Linked DNA regions of Alligator mississippiensis. The protein of the gene in region 1 purifies or fractionates together with the protein of each later gene. This does not show direct contact. Links are inferred from orthologs where the notes say so. Each region holds a gene or a part of one and is shown in the gene's direction. Other genes may lie near its edges. The genes, in order: CUL5, TULP4 and SPSB3.

Region 1 (3,747 bases):
AGTAACTTGTTTGAAATATTTAAGTTTTGGGAAAAAATTGGGCAAATTAAGTTTTCAGTATCTAAAAATATTTTTTTTAAATCAAAGCCCAAATTAATCTAACAGAAAACAACCATTCTAATTTGAAAGTAACTTGTATTCAACCACAGCATTACCATTCCCAAGAATTTTAAAAAAATGCTGAGTCCTCAGCAAATTATGACCTTCCTGGTTGGGAGACTGGAAGGGGATGAGGTCTCCCTGGGAAAGATGGAGAGGGCCAAGGAGCAATGATAGATGGAGGGGTTCCCTAAGAGCAGGGGTGTCAAAGACGTGGCGCACGTGTTGGATCCGGCCAGTGGCGCCCCATCATTCGGCCCCGGTGCTGCGGTGTTGACCTGGTCTCTGCATGCAGCCTGTACCCGACTGGACCCCACCAGCGGATGCAGGATTGCACGGCCCAGAGCCCACGAAGGAACCAGTACAGGGCTGGACTGCATGTGGGGCCGGCTCCGGCCAGGCCAGGCTCTGCGCTGCACGTGGCACGTGCTCCAGGGGACCCGGGTGGGCACCACACACACATGCAGCGGGTGGCAGATCCGCCCTGCACAGGTGCTGTGTGCAAAGCAGCAGCTGGACCGGGCTCCGCAGTGCGCCGGATCCAGAAGGGCCGGGGGTGCACGGGCCCGACCTCACCCCGCTCACCCCGCCCAAGGCCCGGCCCGACGCCACGCCTGCTGCCGGGGGCGGGGGCGGGGGCTCCCGCGGGCTCTGGGCCGGGGTGCCGGCGAGGCGGCCGCCGGGCGGCAGAGGGCGCTGCCGCCGCCGTAGGCCCCCCGCCCCGCCCCCCCGCGCGCTCCGTGGCGGCGCCGCCTCACGTGCCCGCCCCTCGCATGGAGCCGGGCCGCGGCCGTGTGTCCTGGGCGGGCGCCGCCATGAGGCGCTGAGCAGCGGCGGCGGGGGGGGCAGCACCGAGCCGGCCGCTCCGGAGCCCCGAGCGGAGCCGCGGGGGCAGGGGCGGGTCGCGCGGGGCCATGTAAAGCGGGGGCGGCCCGAGCCCAGCCCAGCCCCGGCCCGGGAGCGCCGCCGCCCGGGGCCCGCGGGGCAACATGGCGACGTCTAATCTCCTAAAGGTGAGAGCGGCGCCGGGCCGGGCCCCGCGGGGAACAAAGAGCCGCCGGGCCTGGCCGCTGCCCCGCGGTCAGCGCCGCCCGCAAGGCCCGGCCCGACCCGGCCCGGGGCTCCCGGCGTGGGGCCCGCGAGCAGGGTGGGGGGGTCTCGGAGCTGTTTCGTGGGTAGCACGGGAGCGGGGGCCGGAGCTGCAGCCCTGTTCTTCCCTGGGTGGCTCCTGCCAACCTGTTACGGCGCCTGGTGCCAGGCGACCTGCGGCCGGGGGCGAGGGGCACATTGCCCTGCTCTCTGCTGGGGAAGGAGCGGCCTTGAGGGCTGGGGACCTCTTGCGAAAGGGCCGAGTCACGGGGGCTTGGCACCCGGAGGAGAAGGGGTGCCAAGTTCCCGGACGGGGGCAGAGGATGTGGCTCCGATCGCTTGACCCGTGGGGCGGGGTAGGGAGTTGCACAAACCTGGTGGTCTCCTGAGAAGCAACGCCAGGGATGTGGAGAGCAAGTTGAGTACTGTTTTGATGAGTGGTGTTTCAGCACGTGGTGTATGGACGGTGTGGTGTGTCACAGTCGAATCTGGCCTGCAGAGGTGGGTCATGCGGCCTACAGGGCTTCTTGCGGTCTCCGGATCCCGCCTGTGGGGCTAGACGTGCGGGCAGTGGGGCAGGCAGCAGTAGTGGTCAACCCCCGTGGCTGCTGTATCAGCCCCCAGGCCGGGGGTTAACACTGCTGTTGCTTACCCTGTTGCCAGATTCCCAACTTAGGATCCTTGCTGAGGATGCAGGTCTGCGATGATGACAGTATTAACCTTCCCCCTTAACTGCCAGAGCTACACTGTCAGAGGAGCCAGTATCCATGGGGGTTAATGCTGCCCCAGGGTCAGATGAGTTTGACACCTCTAGAGTGTCCCATTTGATCATTGCTCTTTCGCCGTGTGATGTTACTTGCAGCGTGCTTGGGAGTTATTGGATACTGACACACTTCCTTTGTGGAAACAGAATTACACAGCCTTTAAGCAGATGTAAGGACACTTGGCCCACCGGATTTGACTGTATTCTACTGGAAAACAATGCTTCTACTAAGTGAGAGAACAGTGTAAGGCATTAACCGTTCAGGGAGCTCTGCATGGCAGCAGGCTTAGGTGTAGCGTGATGACTTTTTCATAAACATTTCATTTCAAAGAACAGTTGCAGTTGTATTCTAAATATACAGTGATGCTTTCTTGGCAAAGGTGGTATAGAAATATGACTGAAAGAGGCATTACTGATGTCTTACAGTGCTTTTAAATAAGTAAAATTAAGTAGTAACTTTTCATCAGAACAGTTGAGAGAGCTTTATAAAAGGCAGCCAAATATAAGGCCTCTTACAAAGAGGAAACTGAGGCAACAAAAACTGCTAAAAGTTGCACAAGAGTTTGATCCAATAAATAGAAACTCCTTCCTGATGCTTAGCAAACTGTTCTCCATAAAGCATACTAGCATGAAGTGAAGCTTGCTTTGCAGTACATTTATACCCTTCCAGAATATGATATGTATATCTCTTTAAACTTTCTGGAAATTGGAGGGATGGCCCTAAAAGATAGGAAAGAAAAGGTCAAGAGCAGGCATTTTTAGGGGACATGTACAGAAGACCATGTGATTGAGTGTGTCAGGTTTAGTTAACCCTACTTTAATCCTAGTAAAGACAAGGCCTGAGAGTCGGTGCAAGCAGGCTGTATCATCGGTACAGTTTCATTGGAGTCAGTAGGGCACTGTATGGAGGGGAAAGTCTATTGCAGGATGGGGTTTAAACTAATTCCTGCCCTTTTGTGTTTCTTTCCCTTTTTAAGTAGTTAATCTCATCCCGTTTACTGGTCCGCTTGTTTGAGCTGTTCTCTTTCATCCCCGTCTCTTGTCTGATCAACCTGGACCACACCAGACACGCATAGACTCTTCAGCTTTCAACTAATATTTCTGGCTCTGTTCTTTGGATACCTCTTGCTGACTTGTTTCTTTTAAGGATTGCCTAAGATGTCAGCAAATAGTTCGTGCTAACTGTAGTTATGTAATGAACTCTTTTGTAGTTCTGATTAATTACCACTTCATACATTTAAAGCCCCACTCTCCTTCCTATTTGCTTTGTGTGGTAACCACTGTAGCTGCACTACCAGTTGTAAGAGTTGCTGGTTAGGACAGGTGGTGATTGATTGCATGTTAGATTTAAGCACTTTTAAGCCATATATCTCGCCAATAAATTAATCTCTTAGGTTGGCACAAGACAGTATTATTATTATTATTAAGTAAAAATAAAAACCCCAACTGCTAGCTACACCAAAGTAATCAAATGTGTGTCTCTTTTTAGGTGTTTACAGGTTTCACTTAGAGACTCCAGCTGAGATCAGGACCTCATTGTGCTGGGCTTTGTATGTACACTGAAGAAGACTCTCCTTGCCCCAAAGAGCTTAGAGATGAAACAGATAAGACAAAGAGTAGGAAGAACAGGCATAGAAGGGTGATGTGATTTGCCTACAGTCCCACAGTAGGTCAGCAGCAGAGCCAAGAATAGAATTTAGGTCTCCTGACTTCTAGGCCAGTGCCTTATTTACCAGTTTCTGTTTTATGTAGGTTCTTGTACTGTGCTCCTTGCTGTCTCTACTGTACTACTTTGC
Region 2 (3,747 bases), about 300 Mb from region 1:
GGCTGTACCTAATTAACATAATAGGAAAGGGCTGTAAAGGACCTCAGAAGGGCCCTTCTAGTCCAGCTCAAGTCCATCGCAAGGTCCTCTAGCTCATGTCCATCACGAAGTCATCCTGGTCCAGCCTCCTGCTCAAATCTATCTAGTTCTTCAAAGTCCCTTAGCTTATGTCCACCATCAAGTCACCTAGTCCAGCCTTCTACTCAACTGACCCAGCTGTGAGCCACCCAGTTGCCTGAGCTGAGGAATCCAAGGCTTCGGCCCATCACGTTAACCACATCGTTCCCTCACCTGCCTTTTGGCTGCAGAAACAGGGGTGCCAGCCTTAAGCTAGCTGTACGGTGATTTGGTGGCACCTTAGAACTGCCTCTACCGGGGGGCACAAGAACCCCAGCTGCTTTGCACACGGCACGCTTCCAGCCCAGCCCTGAGGTAATTGTGGGGAGCGCAGGGCTGACTCCTGCTTCCACCCTTGGGGTCAGCCAGGCGTCCTCTTTTCCCGCCTGGCATCATCCCCTCACATTCAAACAAAGCCAGTGCCTGTGGTGCCACTTCCTGGGACCCTTCCATGGGAACCACACACACACACCGGGATGGGGGGGGGAAGTCCATGAGGACAGGACAGGGCCGGGCCGGGCCGAGCCGGGCCGGGCGGTGGCGCGGAAGGAGGAGGAGGAGGAGACGCGCGGGGCTCGGGGGAAGTGTTTCGGGTCATGTGGTCGCGTCACGTGGAGGGGGAGCCAGGCCCAGCGGCAGCCGCCTCGGCAGCAGGGAGGGCCGGCGCGGGCGGGCGGCAGGCGGCTGGGACGTACACGGAGCCGAGCGAAGCAGAGCTGCGGGCACGGGCGAGGGGCGCGGGGCTTGGGCCGGGCCGGGCCGGCTGCCCGCGGCGCCCGGGGCAGGTGAGACTGAGCGCGGCGGCGACGGGGGATGCCGGGGCGCAGCGCATAGCAACAGCGGCGCGGGGCGGGGGGGGGGTCGGACGGAGCTCCTCTTCTGGGGGTTGGGGCTGGTGTCCGGGTGCGCTGCTCTGCCGAGCTTGCCTGGGAAAGGGGGGGGTATGGATCAGGGAGCGGGCAGCGGGGATGGTGGAGCCTGACACGCACACGCGCGGAGACACAGACACGCACAGACGCGGAGCCAGACATGTAGGCAGACACGCTCACATGCGTGCACACGGAGCCTCTCGCATGCAACGGGGACACCCCTGCAGGCAGGCACGAGATAGTCCCGCGTGCGCATGGAATAGCGCAGCCTTGCATGTGCCCGCTTGCAGGGTGCACAGAGACACGCACACGTGCATGGACTCTCACACGCACACAGAATCATGCCTGGACAAAGACACTCTTGTGCACGAGCAGTCACGCAAATGCACACGTCCGTGTACATGCAGGGTCGTGCATGGAGACATTCCTGTGCGCACAGGGATGCTCTCTTGCGCGTGCACATGGACACAAAAATAGACACACGTAGACACACAAACAGGCGCACAGACACAGAGGCACACACGGATGCATACACATGCAGCTTCGAGTCCATGCTTTCTTTTGTTCTGGTGGGCCACCTGATTGTAGCTCTGTGCGTGTGAAATAAAACAGATTCAGGAGCCTTTGGAAAGAAGCCTTGTTTCCTGCCGTTGGATAAAGGAGATCTTTTATTTTTGTTAATAATAATAATAATAATAATAATAATACCTAATCCTCAGTATTATTTTAGCTAGTTGTTTTGTGCTCCTGATTTGTAACAGCTTGAGACAGAGCAACTTTCCCCCTGCTAGCCGCCACTCAAAACACTAAGGGAGGGTAGCTGGAGAAGGAAGAAGATTTGCCAGAGAAACTGAACTGATTTAATTTACCTTATGGTGTTAGATGGATGGAAATGTGAGCAACGCTGTTTAGCCGTCTGGTAGATGTCATTGCCTCCCTAAACCTTTTATCTCTCTCAATTTTAAATGGTGTTAATCCTGCAATTCGAATCTATTAGGGAGGATATTTCTGGTGCTGGCTTGCATCTAGAATATATGGAGAAGGACAGGATAGAGTAAGCAGCTGGGTGCTTTTGTGCTGGCTTGTGTGTGGGAAGCTGGAGTAATGTGATCCTGTTTCAGCTCTAGCCTTCCATGCAGTATCTGTAACATTGGGTTTTGTCCATGACCTTCTTTCACTCTGGGGTTAGGAAATTTATTCAGTGATAGGGAAGATTTTTGCCTGTCAAATGTAACTCGTTCCCCTTCTTCCCCCTTCTTCCACCACCTTGTATGCTTACACTACGTGTTTCAGTAAATGCCTGTGTTCAAGGTAAACACTTGAGTGGGGTGTCCTGCAAAGTGCAGGAATAATTTTTTTACCTTGAAAAGAGAGAACTGATTTTTTTTTTTAATTTGTCCTTTAGAAATGTATTGCAGTGATACAGTTTGGTAGGCAAGTCCATTTTGCCAGGGTGAAAAGTGCCTGCCCAAGGAATACCCATCTATGAGCCACGCACAGTATTTTTAAATGAGATTTTGGTAAGGGGTGTGCATGCAACTGGGAATTGCATATTGAAGCTGTAAACTAGTGAGATCAGTTCTAAATAGCAGCCTTCACAGACTCATGGTGAAGCGTAGGACTTTGAACTTAAAGTATCTGTTTCATGATATGTGGTATATGACATTAAAATAACAAGTGTTCTTTACTGTATGATTTTATATTTACAGCTTTGGAGATGATTATATGAATAAAGTAAGAACCCTGAACATCTAGTGTTGAGCTTTTAACCTTGATTAGATAGACTTAATTTTGTATTTTAAAAGACAGATTTACTAATGGAAAAGAGGTCTCATTAAAATAAGAATTCTGGTAGAATTGTTACAGTTATATCAATAGAGCTACAGATTTTGTGAAATAGTAAAATATGGTATTTTTTAGAGGTACCAGCTAATACCTTGCTCCTGAAACCTTTATTCAATAAATAGGGGACTCCTGGCCTGAAATAAACTGGATTTACACAAAGGGGATCTACTTATTAGTAGATAAAAAATACCAGCAAACACAGTGGATAAGTTCAGATCTGTACTTGCTTTTGTTCTGGTGAGCCACCTGATTGTATCTCTGTGTGTGTGAAATAAATAAGAGAATGAAGAATATTATCCACTTCTTATTCAGGATGGGAACTTGACTGAAGACACATCATTATCCATTTCTTTATCTAAGGGCCTTGTTACCCACTACTTTTTAGGTGGCTCCTGGAGTTATTAACCCCTGGATTGTCCACGCATTAACATCTGAACCTACTTTTAAGCACACTTTAGGCGGCTTAAAGTTATGCCACACCAGGGCAGGTTTATCACTGATCCTTGTTATCTACTCATGTTCCATTAATGTATGGGCACTCCCCACAGATGAGCTGCCCAAGTTGTAGTCCTCTAGCATCCCAGGATGCACTGTCCTCTCCCACATCCTCCATGTCTGTGTGAATAAACTCTACTGCCTAGGGGACGGTTCTGGCACCAAGCCAACTCCCTCTCCTGCCCACGGGGGTGTGACTTTCCCACTCCTGGGGTGCAATCCCATGCAAACAGTCTGCAGAGCACATGGCAGCTAGGCAGGTCACAGGGCATGGATGGGTCCAGGAATGAGGTCTAGGATGGGGTGGAGGGAGAACAAGGTAAGAGGTCAGATCAGATTTCCATGAGCTGGGGCTTCCTCCCTGGGGCAGTACTTGGTGACCCCCCTTCACACACTTGTTTTGAACCTCTGACCAGCACTC
Region 3 (3,747 bases), on another chromosome or scaffold:
GACAGCGAGAACTCCCCCTCAGCATGGAGGCTGGTCTGACCATGGGAGAAGTCATCAGGATGTCCACCAAAGGTAACGCGCAGCTCAGCGCCGCGGCCTCTCTCCAGGGCTTACGGGAGGCCGTCACGGGCGCAGGTTTCCTGCCCCACGACTGCCGGCCCCTTTCGTCCGGGCGCCGGCTGTGTGGCAGCGCACCGGGGGCGGGGGGGGGGGGGGGCAGAAGTGAGGAGCGGGGGCTCGGCTACCGGGAGGCTGCGCGCGGCCACACGGAGCGGAGCCGGCCGCGGGCTGCCACAGCCACCTCCCAGCGCGCGGCAGGGGGAAGGACGCAGCACGCCGGGCAGAGTACTCAGGACCCCGCCGCCTTGCCCAGGCCCCGAGAAACTCGCTGCGGCGGCATGAAAGCCCCAGTGCAGCTGAGAGACCAAACCACTCACCGCCCGCCGTCTCCTCCATGCTGCGTCCGGCGCCCTTATACTTCCGCCTTTCCCGGGCCACCGAGATTGATGGGCGCGGCCGCCAATGGAAAGGCGCGCTCCAGACTTAATTCCACCCCCCCGGCATGTGCCGCGGCTCGCACGGGCCAATCAAAGACGCTCGTTGGAACTCAACCCCGACCTGACCTGCTGACAGGCACGTTTCTCTGCCAAAGGCCTCTGCGCTCTGCAGTTGCCACGTGACCGCGCTCGAAGCCCCTCTGTTTGGCGTCTTGAGATGATCCTCCAATGATGCCGCGCCCTGAAAACTGACGGGACAGAAAGGGAATAGCAAGAGAGCGTGTCGGCCTAGTCTCCGCCCCCCGAGCGCGGAGCGATGGGCGAGCCGCCCAACGGCAAACGCGGGCTCGGAGTGGGGGCGGAACCCTCGGGGGGGGGGGGCCACAGCCAATGGGAGCGGAGGGGGCGGTGCGCAGCGCGGATTGTTTATGTCTCAGGAGGGGAAAGTAGGGCACTGCCGGGCGAGCGGCGGCGCGAGGCCGGGGGACAGGTGAGCGGAGCGGGGCGGGGAGGGGCGTTCTGGCCGCCCCGGGCTCCGCGCGGCCCGGACCCAAGACTTCGCGCTGTTACAGGCCGCGATGACGGACGCCGCTGCGACCGGTCACGCCTCGGGGCTCCTCGGCCGCCCTCGGCGGGAGCGGGTCGGGGTCGGGGCCCGGGCGTGCGGACTCCGTCTCCGTGCGACGAAGTCCCGCCGCGCCCCGCTCCCATGTGCGTCGTGACCTCGGCGTGGCCGGCGCCGGGCCGGGCTGGGCTGTGCTGCCGCGGGCCGCTCCGAGCCCGGCCCTGCAGCCCCGGGCTCTGCCGCTCCCGGCTCCGCTCTGCGGGCAGGTGCCGCTCCCCCGCGCGCAGCGCAGCAGCCCCCGGCCTGGGCTCGGCCTCCTCGGGGCCTCCAGCGCCTGGGGGGTCCCGTTCCGGCGGGATCCGGGGCAGGGGCGGCTGAGCGGAGCCTCCTCTGGCTCTTGCACGAGTCTTGGGGCGGGGAGTACGTGGCACTGGGCCCCTCTTCTCGGCCCTTCCCCTCTCTCAAAAAGGTGTGCGCTGCACTGACAGCTGCACTGATGCTGGGCCTGCCACAGTCGGCTCCTCCCTTGCTGTTTCTCTCTCACATTAAACAGGGGAGTGGGTTGGGGGACAGTGAGAGGAAAAATTCTCCCTCAGCCCCAACTCTAATCTTCCCCTGTGGGAAATCCTGGGTGAGAAGAGGCTGCAGAGTCCCTGGATGCAAACAAATGCAGCCTCTGCCAGGCTAAGGCAGCGAGTTTAAGCGGATTCCCCACCTCCTGCAGTAAGAACATTAAGGCCCAGACATCACAAGTGCAGGCACTGCTGGTTGGAGCGGCTGTCTGGCCTCAGCTTCTGGATTAATGGAAGTGGAAGGGATGAAATACCCGGGACTCGGCGAGGAAGGAGCCAGGCTGGCCTCTGGAGCTGGGACATAAGGTTCTGTGGGCAAGACACATTTGCTAAGCACGTTAGCACTCACTCTGCACTAACTTTGGTTGCCCAGTGGCTTTGCTTAGTCCTAGCACAGCACCTCTACAGCGGTGAAAAAGATATGGTCTTTGCTATGTCATCAGCTGCTGTAGGTGTAGTGAGAGCATCCAGTGAAGTGAAGTGAAGGGCTGACTTTCTCCGAATGTTCAGTTTTGTACTAGGTGACTTTCTTTGGTTGTTTTCTTTGACCCCTTTGGCCTCCATTTCACTGTTATTGGTCACACGGCCTTTTATATTTGTGTCAGTTCTCCTGTCCATGAGTCATGAGTCTCCCATCCATAGCTAGATGCTGCAGGAGTTGGAACTACTACATCACCCATGACTGAAAAGCAAAGACCAGAGTTTTTAGAGAGAGGAGAGCTGTGCACACAGATAGGGTGGGCTGCACCAGGTGGCACCTCTGCACCCGGGACGGTGGGACTGGTCACGTGTGTCATGGCCTGGGCTGCCCCCTGTGCCTGGGCCAGGCCTGGTTGAGGGACCTGCCATGGGCTGGTTAGAATCCTTTGGCGGGCTGGATCCAGCCCACGAGCCTTATTTTGTCCACCCCTGGATTAGACCCTTCTGGTTTCTAGACAAGAGCCTTCTCGGAAGGAGCAGTTTTCCACTATGGTCGTCAGATAAATAGTGACTCATGTCTGACTGCCTATCTTTACAGATGCTGCTGACAAAACTAAAACAGCAAAGCCATTTGATCTTTAGTCACTGCCAATGAAACTGAAACAGTCTAAACTAGGCCGTCCATGTACTGAAAAGGACAAAGTATTCATGGGGATGAACACTTCCTTAAAGCTAATCTTAAGCACTCTTTTCCCTAAATGAACTCATCGGTACGTTCCTGTACTTTTCCACAGATAATTGCTGGTGAGATGTACACATTTTGGCAGTAGTTTAAGGGGTTAACAAATACTCACACTTGCACTTTGAAGTGTTTCTACATAATAAAACATCAACCTCCATTGGTTCACCTCTCTGTACAGTAGATTCCAGTTCCATATGAGAGGTTTTCATGATGGATCAGAATCAACTGGGCATGTAAGGGTTAGGAAGGAATTTTTAAATCATAACCATTCCCACAGGGTCTTGTGGATCAGATCCTGCTTGGATCAGCATTTTTGATCTCTTCACACATGCACTAAGAGACCACAGGATCACTTCATCTGTTGCAGAAGAGGTAGTTTGGCAATAGTTTTCAGTTCCCATGTTGCGGACAGTGCTCCTTTGTTACCTCTGGGCATTCCGTGGGGTTGGAGAAGTGGGATGTAGAGAAGCACAGAGAACTGCTGCATAGAGAACACACCAACTGCTGCAGCTTCCTTAGCCTGACGAAGGGTTTTTGAACCCGAAAGCTTGCTCAATAACTATTCTCCAACCATTTGGGTTGGTCTAATAAAAGATATCAAATTCACCCAAGGAACCTTGTCTGCATAAAGATGGACGCACTTATTTTCCTGTAGCTGCTTTTCTTTAACATTCAAAACTGATCAGTCTGTGTTTGTGGAATTACCCACAGCAGCAAGCTGGGTGTAAGTTGTCCAGGTGAAGAAGCCAAGAGAGGAGTGTCTGTCAGAATTTGCATGAAACAGAATGGAGAATGATGAAGTCCCAGGGCAGGTGGCATGCGCAGAAGAATGCTCTTTTGTTCATTAGAAAAAGACAAGTTTCATTGGAACAGGTTTCCTACTGAGGTGGAGGAATTTCCATCCTTGGTGGTTTTTAAGGCCTGGCTTGACAAAGCTTTGGCTGAGATGAT

The links.
Region 2: the proteins of CUL5 (region 1) and TULP4 purify together in Homo sapiens (affinity purification with mass spectrometry; 4 studies listed by BioGRID and IntAct, counting the BioPlex papers as one, with this or other methods). This does not show direct contact. The link is inferred for Alligator mississippiensis from reciprocal best matches to the Homo sapiens genes CUL5 and TULP4.
Region 3: the proteins of CUL5 (region 1) and SPSB3 purify together in Homo sapiens (affinity purification with mass spectrometry; 4 studies listed by BioGRID and IntAct, counting the BioPlex papers as one, with this or other methods). This does not show direct contact. The link is inferred for Alligator mississippiensis from reciprocal best matches to the Homo sapiens genes CUL5 and SPSB3.

Annotation. Positions count from the first base shown.
Region 1 is NC_081824.1:437,106,250-437,109,996, reverse strand, and holds the start of CUL5 (cullin-5), read left to right. Parts: upstream 1-888; 5' UTR 889-1,088; coding exon 1,089-1,112; intron 1,113-3,747. UniProt on the Homo sapiens protein: Core component of multiple cullin-5-RING E3 ubiquitin-protein ligase complexes (ECS complexes, also named CRL5 complexes), which mediate the ubiquitination and subsequent proteasomal degradation of target proteins.
Region 2 is NC_081824.1:136,414,553-136,418,299, forward strand, and holds the start of TULP4 (tubby-related protein 4), read left to right. Parts: upstream 1-721; 5' UTR 722-902; intron 903-3,747. UniProt on the Homo sapiens protein: May be a substrate-recognition component of a SCF-like ECS (Elongin-Cullin-SOCS-box protein) E3 ubiquitin ligase complex which mediates the ubiquitination and subsequent proteasomal degradation of target proteins.
Region 3 is NC_081836.1:29,583,545-29,587,291, reverse strand, and holds the start of SPSB3 (SPRY domain-containing SOCS box protein 3), read left to right. Parts: upstream 1-895; 5' UTR 896-987; intron 988-1,012; exon of another isoform or gene 1,013-3,747. Other genes in the region: cytosolic Fe-S cluster assembly factor NUBP2, read right to left, coding at 438-456.